Nothobranchius furzeri: one gene and its partners. Each later gene encodes a partner of the first gene's protein in a complex. Links are inferred from orthologs where the notes say so. Each region holds a gene or a part of one and is shown on either strand. Other genes may lie near its edges. The genes, in order: pdzk1, akap10 and slc15a2.

What was found.
Region 2: the proteins of pdzk1 (region 1) and akap10 are in contact, whole or in part, in a crystal structure (PDB 3TMH), measured with the Homo sapiens proteins. The link is inferred for Nothobranchius furzeri from reciprocal best matches to the Homo sapiens genes PDZK1 and AKAP10. Residues at the interface, in NP_001188254.1 of Homo sapiens: Asn386, Gly387, Tyr388, Gly389, Phe390, His391, Leu392, Asn393, Ala394, Ile395, Arg396, Phe402, Lys404, Tyr436, Glu437, Val440, Ile443, Gln444; in NP_009133.2 of Homo sapiens: Pro655, Leu656, Glu657, Lys658, Ser659, Thr660, Lys661, Leu662.
Region 3: the proteins of pdzk1 (region 1) and slc15a2 are in contact, whole or in part, in a crystal structure (PDB 6EZI), measured with the Homo sapiens proteins. The link is inferred for Nothobranchius furzeri from reciprocal best matches to the Homo sapiens genes PDZK1 and SLC15A2. Residues at the interface, in NP_001188254.1 of Homo sapiens: Asn386, Gly387, Tyr388, Gly389, Phe390, His391, Leu392, Asn393, Ala394, Ile395, Arg396, Gln407, Tyr436, Glu437, Val440, Ile443, Gln444; in NP_066568.3 of Homo sapiens: Glu723, Thr724, Lys725, Lys726, Thr727, Lys728, Leu729.

The regions. Positions count from the first base shown.
Region 1 is NC_091754.1:24,601,048-24,604,798, reverse strand, and holds the end of pdzk1 (Na(+)/H(+) exchange regulatory cofactor NHE-RF3), read left to right. Parts: intron 1-355; coding exon 356-688; intron 689-763; coding exon 764-960; intron 961-1,543; coding exon 1,544-1,768; intron 1,769-1,843; coding exon 1,844-2,161; intron 2,162-2,719; coding exon 2,720-2,773; 3' UTR 2,774-3,195; downstream 3,196-3,751. Other genes in the region: si:ch73-390b10.2 (Golgi pH regulator), read right to left, coding at 3,573-3,751. UniProt on the Homo sapiens protein: A scaffold protein that connects plasma membrane proteins and regulatory components, regulating their surface expression in epithelial cells apical domains.
Region 2 is NC_091750.1:53,062,344-53,066,348, reverse strand, and holds the end of akap10 (A-kinase anchor protein 10, mitochondrial), read right to left. Parts: intron 2,952-4,005; coding exon 2,807-2,951; intron 2,602-2,806; coding exon 2,434-2,601; intron 2,264-2,433; coding exon 2,154-2,263; intron 2,065-2,153; coding exon 1,982-2,064; intron 1,630-1,981; coding exon 1,577-1,629; intron 1,445-1,576; coding exon 1,366-1,444; coding exon of another isoform or gene 1,352-1,365; intron 1,275-1,351; coding exon 1,213-1,274; 3' UTR 530-1,212; downstream 1-529. UniProt on the Homo sapiens protein: Differentially targeted protein that binds to type I and II regulatory subunits of protein kinase A and anchors them to the mitochondria or the plasma membrane.
Region 3 is NC_091754.1:31,331,410-31,335,059, forward strand, and holds part of slc15a2 (solute carrier family 15 member 2), read left to right. Parts: intron 1-932; coding exon 933-1,015; intron 1,016-1,102; coding exon 1,103-1,369; intron 1,370-2,017; coding exon 2,018-2,062; intron 2,063-2,265; coding exon 2,266-2,301; intron 2,302-3,650. UniProt on the Homo sapiens protein: Proton-coupled amino-acid transporter that transports oligopeptides of 2 to 4 amino acids with a preference for dipeptides. Transports neutral and anionic dipeptides with a proton to peptide stoichiometry of 2:1 or 3:1.

The DNA of each region.
Region 1 (3,751 bases):
ATTTTAATACTTGGATTGGCTACTTTCACAACTCATTTTATTTATTATTTATTTTCATAAAGTAATTAAGTCAGAAAAAAATGATCTATTGAAACACAAGCTATGATTGGGTTTGTCTTTTTCATTTGAGAAGTACACCAATAACATTTGAACTACTTTGACCCTATATCTGAGTTGTCCTACATGCTACTATGACTTATACTTGTACTTCACTCTGAAGTTGTTAGATGAGTAACAGAACACACCTATGATAACATAAACCACTCCTATGTGGTTTTCCATCAGCAACAGCAACACTCTCACCCTTAGCAACACATGTTATCTGCTTATCTATCTATATGCCTTATGACTATAGGAGAGGAGGGTCTGTTCATGACTGAGGTGATTCGGGGGGGTGTGGCGGACAAAGCAGGAGTTCGTGCCAAAGATCGTCTAATTGAAATCAATGGTGAGAACGTTGAAAAATGCACCCACGAGGAAGCAGTGAACAAGATAAAACAGGGGGGCAACAGCGTGATGTTTCTGCTGGTTGATGAGGAAACCGACAAATTCCATCAGAGCAAACAAGCAAAATTAGGTTCGTGGAGAGCAACAGTCAAGTATCTTCCTCTCCATCCACGCATCGTCAAAATGACCAAAGGATCAGATGGATATGGCTTCCTGCTCAGAGAGGAGCCCAACCAAGCAGGCAAGGCCATGGTAACATGCTGTACTTTTCACTCCGGAGTGATGGCCTAATAATGTACTCCTTTACTTCTTTCAGGACACTTCATGAAGGAAGTAGATAAAGGCAGTCCAGCGGAAAAAGGTGGTCTGATGGAGAATGACGTAGTTGTCGCTGTGAATGGCAAAGAGGTGGACGGCTACAGTCATGAGCAAGTGGTGGACTGGATCAAGCAAAGTGGAGACAAATGCTGCCTCCTTGTGGTGGACAAAGAAACACAGCAAATGTATAAGAAGGTGAGCCATAGACCTAACCTGGAAAGCCAACTTATATTTGTAAAAGTCTGGTCACGAGTCACTGAAACCACCCAGCCATGAGGCTAAATCTACGGTTGTCTTTCAAACTGTCTATGCATGCAACTGGACAGTGCTAGGACCAGTCAGAGCAACGAACAACATGATGTAATCATCACTACAAATGTTAGTCAGCATGGCAGTTCACCATACACCGTTGAAGGAGAAGCAAATGTATCCTTCTTTGAAATAAATGACTTAAGTACCTCTATCTGCTCATATCCCAAAGTAGATGCTAAAGCTATTTCAAATGAGCGCCATTTCTGAGCTGACGCCATATTTGTAGTGTTTCTCCATCACAGCTCTAACGTTAAGCCTGTATAACACATTTGAAGTGTTGTAATTGGCAAGACACAAAACTGATCAGGCCATTGATAGACCCGCTGACGTTCCTATGGAGCGTGGCTAGACCGACCTGCAAAGCAAACCTTTTTGCTATTAGTCTGGATTTCTAGGCTCCCACTGACTCACTGTTCGTCATTAGATGTCTACTGTAGATAACATATTGTCATGCTGTTTCTCAAAGGGAAAAATATCTCCTATGCTCTTCTGGGAGGAAAAGAAAGACTCCAACTTACCACCAAGTTACACAGAAGCTTTAAAAATGCCTGTTTCTGCTCAACCATCCACATCTGTTCAAGAGACGATAGAAGACCTTCGACCAAAGCTGTGTAGGATGGAGAAGACCTCTTCTGGTTTTGGCTTTCACCTAAACGGCATCGAGGGTGTGTGTGGTCAGTACATCAAGGAGGTAAGATCAACATAAGTACTCAATTTCTCATCATTAGTATCTCACAACCAAGACAGAAAACACCATTTCTCTCAGGTGGTGAAAGGTGGACCAGCAGACAAGGCCGGTCTGGGAGACGATGATGTAGTGGTGGAGGTAAACGGGGTAAATGTGGAAAAGAGCTCTCATGCAGAAGTCGTGGAAATGATACGCAGAGGAGGCAACACTCTGGAGATGTTGGTGGCCAGCAAGAATGTCTATAAACAGCTCAAGGACAAAGGCATGACGATCACACCACGGCTAGTCGGGGAAGGTCCCAGCAGTCAAGTCCACGTGTCAAACAGTCCAGAAACAAGCAAGAAGACACGGGAGGAGGCCAGGCCTGTGACCCCACCTAAGGCAGAAAAACAGAGGGTGAGTGCTTCTCTTCTCTTTTAGTAATCAACACTATAAAGATGTCAATGATCCAAAAGTCAGTCCTCCTCTTTAAATTGTATAAATTGCGTGTTTTGTGTGGAAATATTTGGTATCTTCTAACACCCATGTAGCACTACATTAACTGGTTCTTCATCTTAACACTGACAAAAGTCCAAAACCTGTTGAGAAATTCAGTGAATCTGATGTGTTGCACGTTTAATGCAATCTGTTTAATCACATGCAGCTGCTGTTGCTCAAATTATAAACAATACACAAGTTTCATGTTAATTTGAACATTTCTATTCAAAACATTATGAACACAAAATTATACACATTTCCATTTAGTTTTGGATTTTAAACCTTATATGCTGCCAGTTTACCATCTATGGTAGATCTATAATGAAAAAGCATGCTTTTCTGGTCTTTTTTGACAAATCATGTTCGGATTTATGAAAGTATTCTAAAAAAACAAGAGAATGTGTACATTTTATGTTCTAATTAGCTTTTTGTCTCTTTTGTATTTAATTTTTTGTATCTTTTTTCCTTTTCTTTTAGTCTACATCTGTGTCATCCTCTTCATCTGATGAAAGTCTCGACGAGAGATTTTGAGGAACACTTGAAACACTCCCAATTAGGCCTAATCGGATGTTAATTTTATTAAAACCAAAATGCTCAATGAGCTTTTGATATCCTGCTTAGATTAAAACTGTAAAAAATGAGTAAAAACTAGAAAAAAGACAGTAAAGACTGTAAAAATCTGATCCATAGCAGAAGTTTCATGAGATGATTACAAAAAATGACATTTTTTTAAAGCTTGTGATCAGAAATCTTTTGCTTGTCGATCAAATTTAAGCATCAAAGTCTTTCTTACAGCAGAGGAAACCAATAATTCAGGATGTTTTTAACAATTAAGAGTGGTCTTTTTATTCTCTTTATGCTCTCTGCTGTTTTTATTTAATGTTGAAACAGAAATGCTGCTCACATTTAGAAACCAGAAATAAAATTTATTAAAACAAATCAAAGAAAACATACCATCTGAGTTAAGCCTGACTTCATGAGTTTCTGGTCTCTTAAACCAAAAAGCAGATCACATTCAGTGTTCACTCCTTTCCTTCTTACTCTGATGTTAAACAGGAATGTAAAACAGATAGTCCAGTGTACTGAGACTCAAAAAGCAATATTCCTCTTCTGAAAAACCCAAAAATATATAATCTAGGGGCATAGCAAATACAATTTTAGTTTTTCAAGAACATCTGCATTCTTTATAGCAGTGTTGTTCTGTAAAATACTGCAAGAGTCCACGACTTCCAGGGTTTTGTGTAAAAACAAGAGTAAACGAATCTCTGAAAAAAACACTGGCCCAAGCATCAGGAGTTCATTTGTGAGCCAGGAGCGATTCCTCGGGAGTTCAGAGAGTCATGTGCTTCTCCGGGGCCTGCTTGTGGGCGAGATAAAGGAAGAGGATGCTGGACAAGGCGCTGACCAGGAAGATGACATCAAACCAGCGGTGGTAGAAGTTAAACTGCAGTTCTCCCAGAACCTCACTCACAATGGAGCGATACTCCAGAGGCATGCTCATACGCATCA
Region 2 (4,005 bases), on another chromosome or scaffold:
CCCTGAACCTGCATAATTAGAAGCCAATTTATGACAGAAAAACAAACTGTATCTTTTCCCTAGAAACCAAATAATCAACACTGCCCTCACGTGGTGAGATGTGGTAACAGTCCCGAAAGAATGTCAATATATTCTAATAGATGTACAAAAAGGGAGACTATACACTTTGTAATATTTGTATTTAAATCAAACACATCTTAAATATATTATAGATCCAAGTACGCATACATGTCAGAAAACATTAAAGGTACATGGTACCAAGACTTTTTCTGGTTCCTTTCCACATTTAGGTAAGGCTCAAAGGAAATAAAAAAAGTAAAATTAACTGAGCACTCTTTCCAGCAGTCCGTTCTTCACTGAGCTAGGTTTTCAGTGATGTAATTAAAAAACTAAGACCACTATTAAAAAAACAAACATTAATATATGGGCTAAACCAGAATATCCATTTATATTTATATATGTATAGAACCTTTAGGGCATGGAGTTTGCATTTCTGACATCGCCAGAGCACTTTAGGTTCAATAGCGAGTACTTTTGAAGGTGCCTTAATATTAATGAAGAGGGTCAGCCAGTCCGAGCATGGGTATTTCACTGCCAAAATGTTCCACAATACATAACGGCAATGTAGGACGACTAACAGAGACGAGATGACAGAATCATTACACTCGTTAAACTGAGTGAAAAGATCGCAAAACCTGTACAACGCTTTTAATTGATACGCTCTTGGAGACCGACCCTCACGATGGAGGTCCATGTAAAAACAAGGAATGCCTAGAAAAGGTGTGAGGACGTGTGCCATGAAGGAGTGGGGCTTAGTTCAGTTTTTGTCACGTCCTCCACCTGTCTGCTGTACGACAGACAAAGCAGTAATAGTTCCGACACGCTGCTGCTACTTCTGTGTGTCGATGTTAATCAGAAACACGCAGATCGACTCCGTCCACACGAGCGTTTCCTTGCTGATTGATGCTGCTTCACTCGTGGTGGAAAACATCTTCAGTGTTACGGAACTGGAAGATTGAACAATGATGTACTTCAAGTTTTCTACTGGTCCATGAGTGAACAATCACTCACCTAAGCACACATTCTCTCACACTCACTCACTCACTCACTCACTCACTCACTCACTCACACAATGATGGGGAGATGATAAAACGATGTGTTCCGTCTAAGAGTAATGCATTTCATTGCAGTGTGAAGTCTTTCCGCAGTTCATCACTCGCTAAGCCTGTGTCTGCAGGGAGCGCCTGTCCTTTGGTTCCTTGGAGGGGTCATAACTACGAGAAAGAAAAAAAAGAAAACCCTCAGGAGAAGATCAGCCATAATCCCACCCATCACAGCCGAGATTTTTCACCTTGGTGGATTTACCGGGGCTGTCGTGGTTTGACTGGTGGACAACATCGTTGACGATCATCTTGGCGATCTGCCACGCCATCTCTTCCTGGGCCTTGATCATCAGAGCCACAGCAGAGATTTCACTATTTAAATTCTTTAATCACCACAATCTTCACAAAACAGTGTGAGATTATACATCTCACAATGGTCATTTACGTAGTTTATTAATAACATTCAATATTACCTCATCGGAGTTGCCTTGGACCCATTTCTTCATTGCTTGAGAAAACATGGAACCTTAAACAGGAGAAAACATAAACATCAAGCATCGATAAAATGAAAATATTTCATAATATATTTAGAATTTGGTCTTTTTCACTCCTAGTCACTATGATCCCACTCAGCCCTCGCTCCAACATGCATCCTGAGTGATCCGATCACTAAACGACACGCTTGCTTCCCCAACAGGGAAGGATCTCAGAATTTAGGAGCAGCAATTTTTAAAAGAAGAGTTCTTAAATATTTCAGAAGTTGCTAGATGACGTTTATATTCATTGCTGCAGAGAGGACAGACTTGTCATTGCAAGGACAAAACTGTACAGATAAGGACGGCAGAAATCAGAAGAAGAAGAAAAAAAGAAGAGTATACCTTTGGATTTCTTCACATCTGGTTCTGGCTCAGCCTCCCTGATGAACTGACCCAACTCATTCACCTTCCCAAAAGTCATTTTTCTGTGAAAACGGAGCAATGAACAATGATGAAGAGAGAACAAAGGAGCGAGCGTTTTCTGTGGCTGCAGAGTAGAAACACTAAAACTCACCCGGCGTATGGCCGTTGGTACAAATTCTCGGGGTCTAAACTGGCGACGTCCACCGTGATCGCCTCGTCAAAGTTTTTCAGAATCTTGATCAAAGCTTTTTTGGCACCTTGCTGCAACAAAGATACAACAAACCAAATGTTCAGCAGCCTTCTGGGTAACATAGTTTCTTTCTAATGGATACAGCTAAACGAGAGGAGGGATCACAACCTCAGAACGTCAGCAGGACGGGTCTAAATGTCAGCAGACAGAGAACATCCCCACGGGCAACGGAGGAGCTCACCTGGGTCTGAGAGGCCTCGCTGGCATTTGAACTGGAGCGGTCGTTTTCCCCCGGCCCGCCTTGACCTTGAGAACTGATGTTCACAAAGTCATCCGCCCGCACTGAATTAATGAGGTCACTCAGGTATTTGTAATAAAGGTTGTTAGACAGAAAGCCGGGCAAGTACACCTGGACAAGAGAGATTTGTCAGTGAGACACAACTGTCCAAAGGAATCATCACTTCAGAAAAGGCTAAATAAACATAAATAAGTAGAAAACAACCTAAAATCTGCTTCCTGAATCCACGTGGAGTACATTAACGTGGTTTAATGGAGAGATGGTGGTTTTTAATGAATTCTACACACAAACACATTTACAAATGTCTGAATCTGACCTTCTCCATGGTGGTCCAGGCCTGTCTGAGCGGAGTGGTGAAACAGTCAGGGAGAGGCCCTCCCTCTCGACAGATGTTGGACTCGATCTCCATCCGGACAGAGTCGCCAAAGCCCAGAGGGTTCGTGGCCTGGAGTGAGAAATACCTACGAACAAACGGCAAGGATGACCAACCGAGCTCAGATATAGATCAACATAGATCGTTGATTCTGCAGGAAATGCATTTTAACTTCACTAAATGAGCAATAAATCACGCCACGATCACAGGTTTAAGTTGTTTACTTCCACTTAAACACATGTAGGTACACCGAGAAGCCAGACAGCCAAAACCCACCCAGATGTTTTATGCAAAACCACATAGTGAATAAAAGCAAAAACAAACACCAAAAATCTAATTGTTGCAGAAATTTAAAGGCACAATAAATTACTTTGTCATATTTTTTAATCAAGAATAGTCTCTTTACCCACTCCGCTTCTTGTGAGCTGAATACTGTACTTGCAACTAGACCCTCCCAAGACTGGTGATCTGAAGTCTCACAAAGGCACTTATGTCATGAGAAGCAGTACCGCTTCATAGTAATCCATATTTACACCTCTGGACGGACAAGCTAGAGGTGGTCGGTGTTTATTGTATCGTGTTGACTGCGGTGGAGGCTCAGAATAAACAAAGAAAACCTTCATCTGATGAAGCAGAAAAGACAAAAAGAACATTTATTTATTTATTTTGACTGATATTTTATGAGGATGAAAACCGCTTGAGATGAGCCATCACGTTTTCGAGTGGGTCCTCTTTCTTTACAATCAATAAAAAAGAAAGATAACAGAGTCAATGTACAAACAACAAATCTAGAATGTTAAAACAAACACAAATTTCATAAATAAACGAAATAAAATTAAACAAAATAAAAAAATTATAGTGAAATAAAAAATATATAAATAAAGCCTGCATGGTGTAAGCCAGGCATATATATATATATATTTATGCGACAAATTCGAACTATTTAGTAGATTACGTTCGGCTAGAGTAGAATTATCAAGCCAATTAAATTGAAATCCCCTAGTAAAATAATTTCACTAGAGTCCCACAATGACTGAAATAATTCTATTAAGTTTTTTATTGCTTCATTTTTGGGAGAGGAGGGAGGGAGGGCAATAAATGTTACCCACAATAAGGTGTTTATGTCCATTAAAAGACATTTT
Region 3 (3,650 bases), about 6.7 Mb from region 1:
GATCTGAAAGTGTCTGATTAGTTAAAAAACAAATTGTTTAGTTTAGTTAGAGTTTTAAAAAAGTATTGTCACTATTTTCCTTTTCCTTTTTAATTTTATTTTTTACAATATTGATGAATTGGAAATTCAGAGAAAATAACTTGAGAATACAATGCATGTTGATGTAGTTAGCATGGCATTTTTTAACATAGTAAACATGTTCACACATAGGAAGCATCAATATGGATATATCTTATGGCGGTAGCTCTTCTGTACTTTCATTGTGTAAAAGTAGCTCACGGTCTCCAAAAGTTTGGGGACCCCTGTTCTAGAGACTGGAAACCTAGTGTCATTGGTTGGGAAACCATTGATATTTAAGATCATGCAAGTTTTCCCGATAAGTGATTGTAGCTTTTGCAGCCTGTGAGTTAGCAGAATGATCCCGTCAGAACTAATTTAGGCACTTCCTCACATTTGCTGGAGCTGCGATGAGACAACACCACTGCAGCCTGATTGGATGCTTTATTGGTCCTAAATCCAGAACTGAAACTAATGTGACAGTGACAGATGAGAAGCAGTGCAAAGCAGAAAACCTTCTTAGGAAAGTTTGACTCATAAGCTGATGTTTCATCCTCATCAGGCTGTGATGTTAATGCAGAGGCTGTGTTTTTACAAGTTGGGCTCATCCTCATGCATCCTGACAGCCCGTTTTCTCTGCCTGTTGGTCCCTGTCACCCCTGGTCTCTGAAATTCATGCCTGACTGGCTGGTTTTTGGAAAAACAAAGTATGATTTAAGGAAACCAGAGGGATGAATCACAGGAAGGATGAGACTGGAGGATCGGTCCAGTCCAAACGGTGTTGCTGAACCGCAGAAACATGACGAGGCGCTTAGATCCTGTAGTTTCTCACCCTTATGTGATTGTAACACTGATTCTTCATGCATCCTCCGCAGCCGTGTTCATTTTTGGCAGCAGTCTTTACAAGAAGAATCCACCTCAGGGAAACATCTTGTTGCAAGTCTGCAACTGCATCGGTGTGAGTGATCTCGTCTCAGACCAATCACATCAGTTTAAATCAGTTCAGTGTTTGCCCACTCTGCTTTCTCTGAATCTTTGTTTGCAGTTTGCTATTAAAAACCGCTGGAACAGCTCCAAGTCTGCCCCAAAGAGGACGCACTGGCTGGACTGGGCTGAGGACAAGTACTCGGTACGAAAACCTTCCTCAAGAATGATTCCTGAGAACGTAAACTGTAAATTCCTGGAAACATTAAATCCGTTTATTGTGTTCTTTTCCCAACAGAAGCGCCTGATTGAGGAGATTAGGATGGTCCTGCGGGTTCTGGTGCTCTACATCCCTCTGCCGATGTTTTGGGCTCTGTTTGATCAGCAGGTACAGGAAGACTCAGCGCAGATCTGCACATCCTGTTTTTATGAGCTACAGTTTAAATATCAAAAGCAGTTTAGTGGGAATTTATTATCTTATATATTATGGATAGCTTCCTGAACAGCCTCTGTTTAGAGAAATAGTTTAGAAAGGAGCTAACGGCTAATATTAGCAAGTGAAACTGGTTTTTAAGAATTGCTTTTTAATATAATTGTGATATTCTGCTGCTTGGCCACAGAACAAGATACATTTAAAACAAAATGACAGTTTTATGACTTTGTTTAGCACAAATATCAGAATGAAAACAAAGTTTTACAGAATTTTAAATTTCCTGCAGCCGGGGCCATTTGAAGATATTTGGGGGCCCTAGGCAAGATGGACTTCATCCCCCCATCTAATTTAACCTTGAAATTGCTGCTCGATTACAGAAAACCTTAAAAGCTCCAACATTCCTGCACCTTATTGTCCTGAGATTGTTATTTATTCACAGTTTATTCACGGCTGTTTAAAAAGTGTCCAAAAATGCAAACAAACTCTGATTCCCAGAAAAGCCTGTTAGCTGTTTAACCAGTTTTTCACCATTATCCTGGCTGGTGTGACATTTCAGTTCTTCTGTAGTCACAGCTGATCTAATTGGGGTTTTCTGTCCTGCAGGGTTCTCGCTGGACGCTCCAAGCCACAAGAATGAACCTGGCTTTTGTAAGATTCTCCTTGCGTTACCCAAAATGATCAAAACCAAATGCACTTTGACATCAGACGTGGACTTTTTGGCGTGTTGCTGCAGTTTGTTGTTTTATTCCAGTAAACTATCTTGTTTATGACTGATGAATCAGATACTCATCAGGTCTTTAACAGAGTTAAAGTTTAAACTTCTGACCTGCTTCTTTCCTGTTGGCTCACAGGGAGAGTCCTTCACTATCAAGCCTGACCAGATGCAGGTAGGTGCAGAAATGAACTTTTGTGGCACCCCCCCCCCAGGTGAGATCGACCCTGTTGGGTGAGCATCACCCATCCTGACACAGAAGCTCCTTCCTGTGAGATAGGACCACACCCATTTTCAGGTGTCAGGTCCAATAGGAAAAGGATCACTGCCTCCCTGTATTTATGTGCTAATGATAATAAGAAAGTATATTTTATTTAGCACCTCTCGAGATAAAACCCATGAGGCGCTTCGCAAGAATAAAAATTAAAAAACAAATTAAAATGATTCAAAAATATAAAATTGGGAAATGTAAAAAATTGTGATTAAAAACGTGAGAAAAGGGAGAGAGAAAATGAATAAGAAAGAGGTAATCAGTGGATCCTGGGAATGGTGGAGTTGGTAAACAGCAGATTAAAGGGGCATTATGGAAGTTTGACAGCCAAAACATGTATAGAAATAATAAATGTCTTCTTCATACATTCTCCTGCAATGCCCTGGTCCTGTAGAATGAGCCCTGGCATTTTTACTGTGATTGCCTGTTTTTCTGTAAAATCACAGAAAAAGAGAGCTGCTCGGGTCGAGCAGGCTGCTTCATGCGCGTTCACGCTCAGGCATAGCCCGTAGCATTTGCTATCAGTAGCTTTAGCAGCAGAGAGAGAGGCAGTGCCACTTTGTCGCTGTTCCTAACGCCTAGTGACAAACCTAGCTACATTTCTGAGGACCCTTAGCTACTTTCTGTAGAACTTTCTTCTAGATATTTCCTGCAAATTAGCAACAAAATAGCCATTTTCGCTCCGAACCGTTCTTTGGATTGACGTTGTTTCAGCTGTTATCAAGGATGTAAAAGTTACAGATACATCAAATGTTACTGGTGCTTTAGCTCACCTAGTAAGATGGCTGACTCTCTTGCTGAGGACCTGGGTTTGATTCCAGGTGTGTACATAGTTTATTTGGAGTTTCTTTTTTACAATAATGATAATTGTTTTACCATAATATGACGCCCAAATTTTTATTTGAGACTCGCCGAACGGCATTGAATTCACAGATTAAAAAGATGTGGGTTCAACTTTCATTTTGGAACAATTTTTCAAGCAAGGGAAGGGAATGATCTGAGCATGCAGGAGGACTGACCCATCTTAAACCTTTGTCGGCTGTGCTGAAGAGAAAGGTACAGAACCAAATTATTTAATTAATTAACTGCACGTTCTCCTGTCCTCTGTCCTCCGGGCCACACACACACACACACACACACACACACACACACACACACACACACACACACACACACACACACACACACACACACACACACACACACACACACACGGGACTGTATCAGCTGTTCTTTTTGTTGAGTGTGCACGC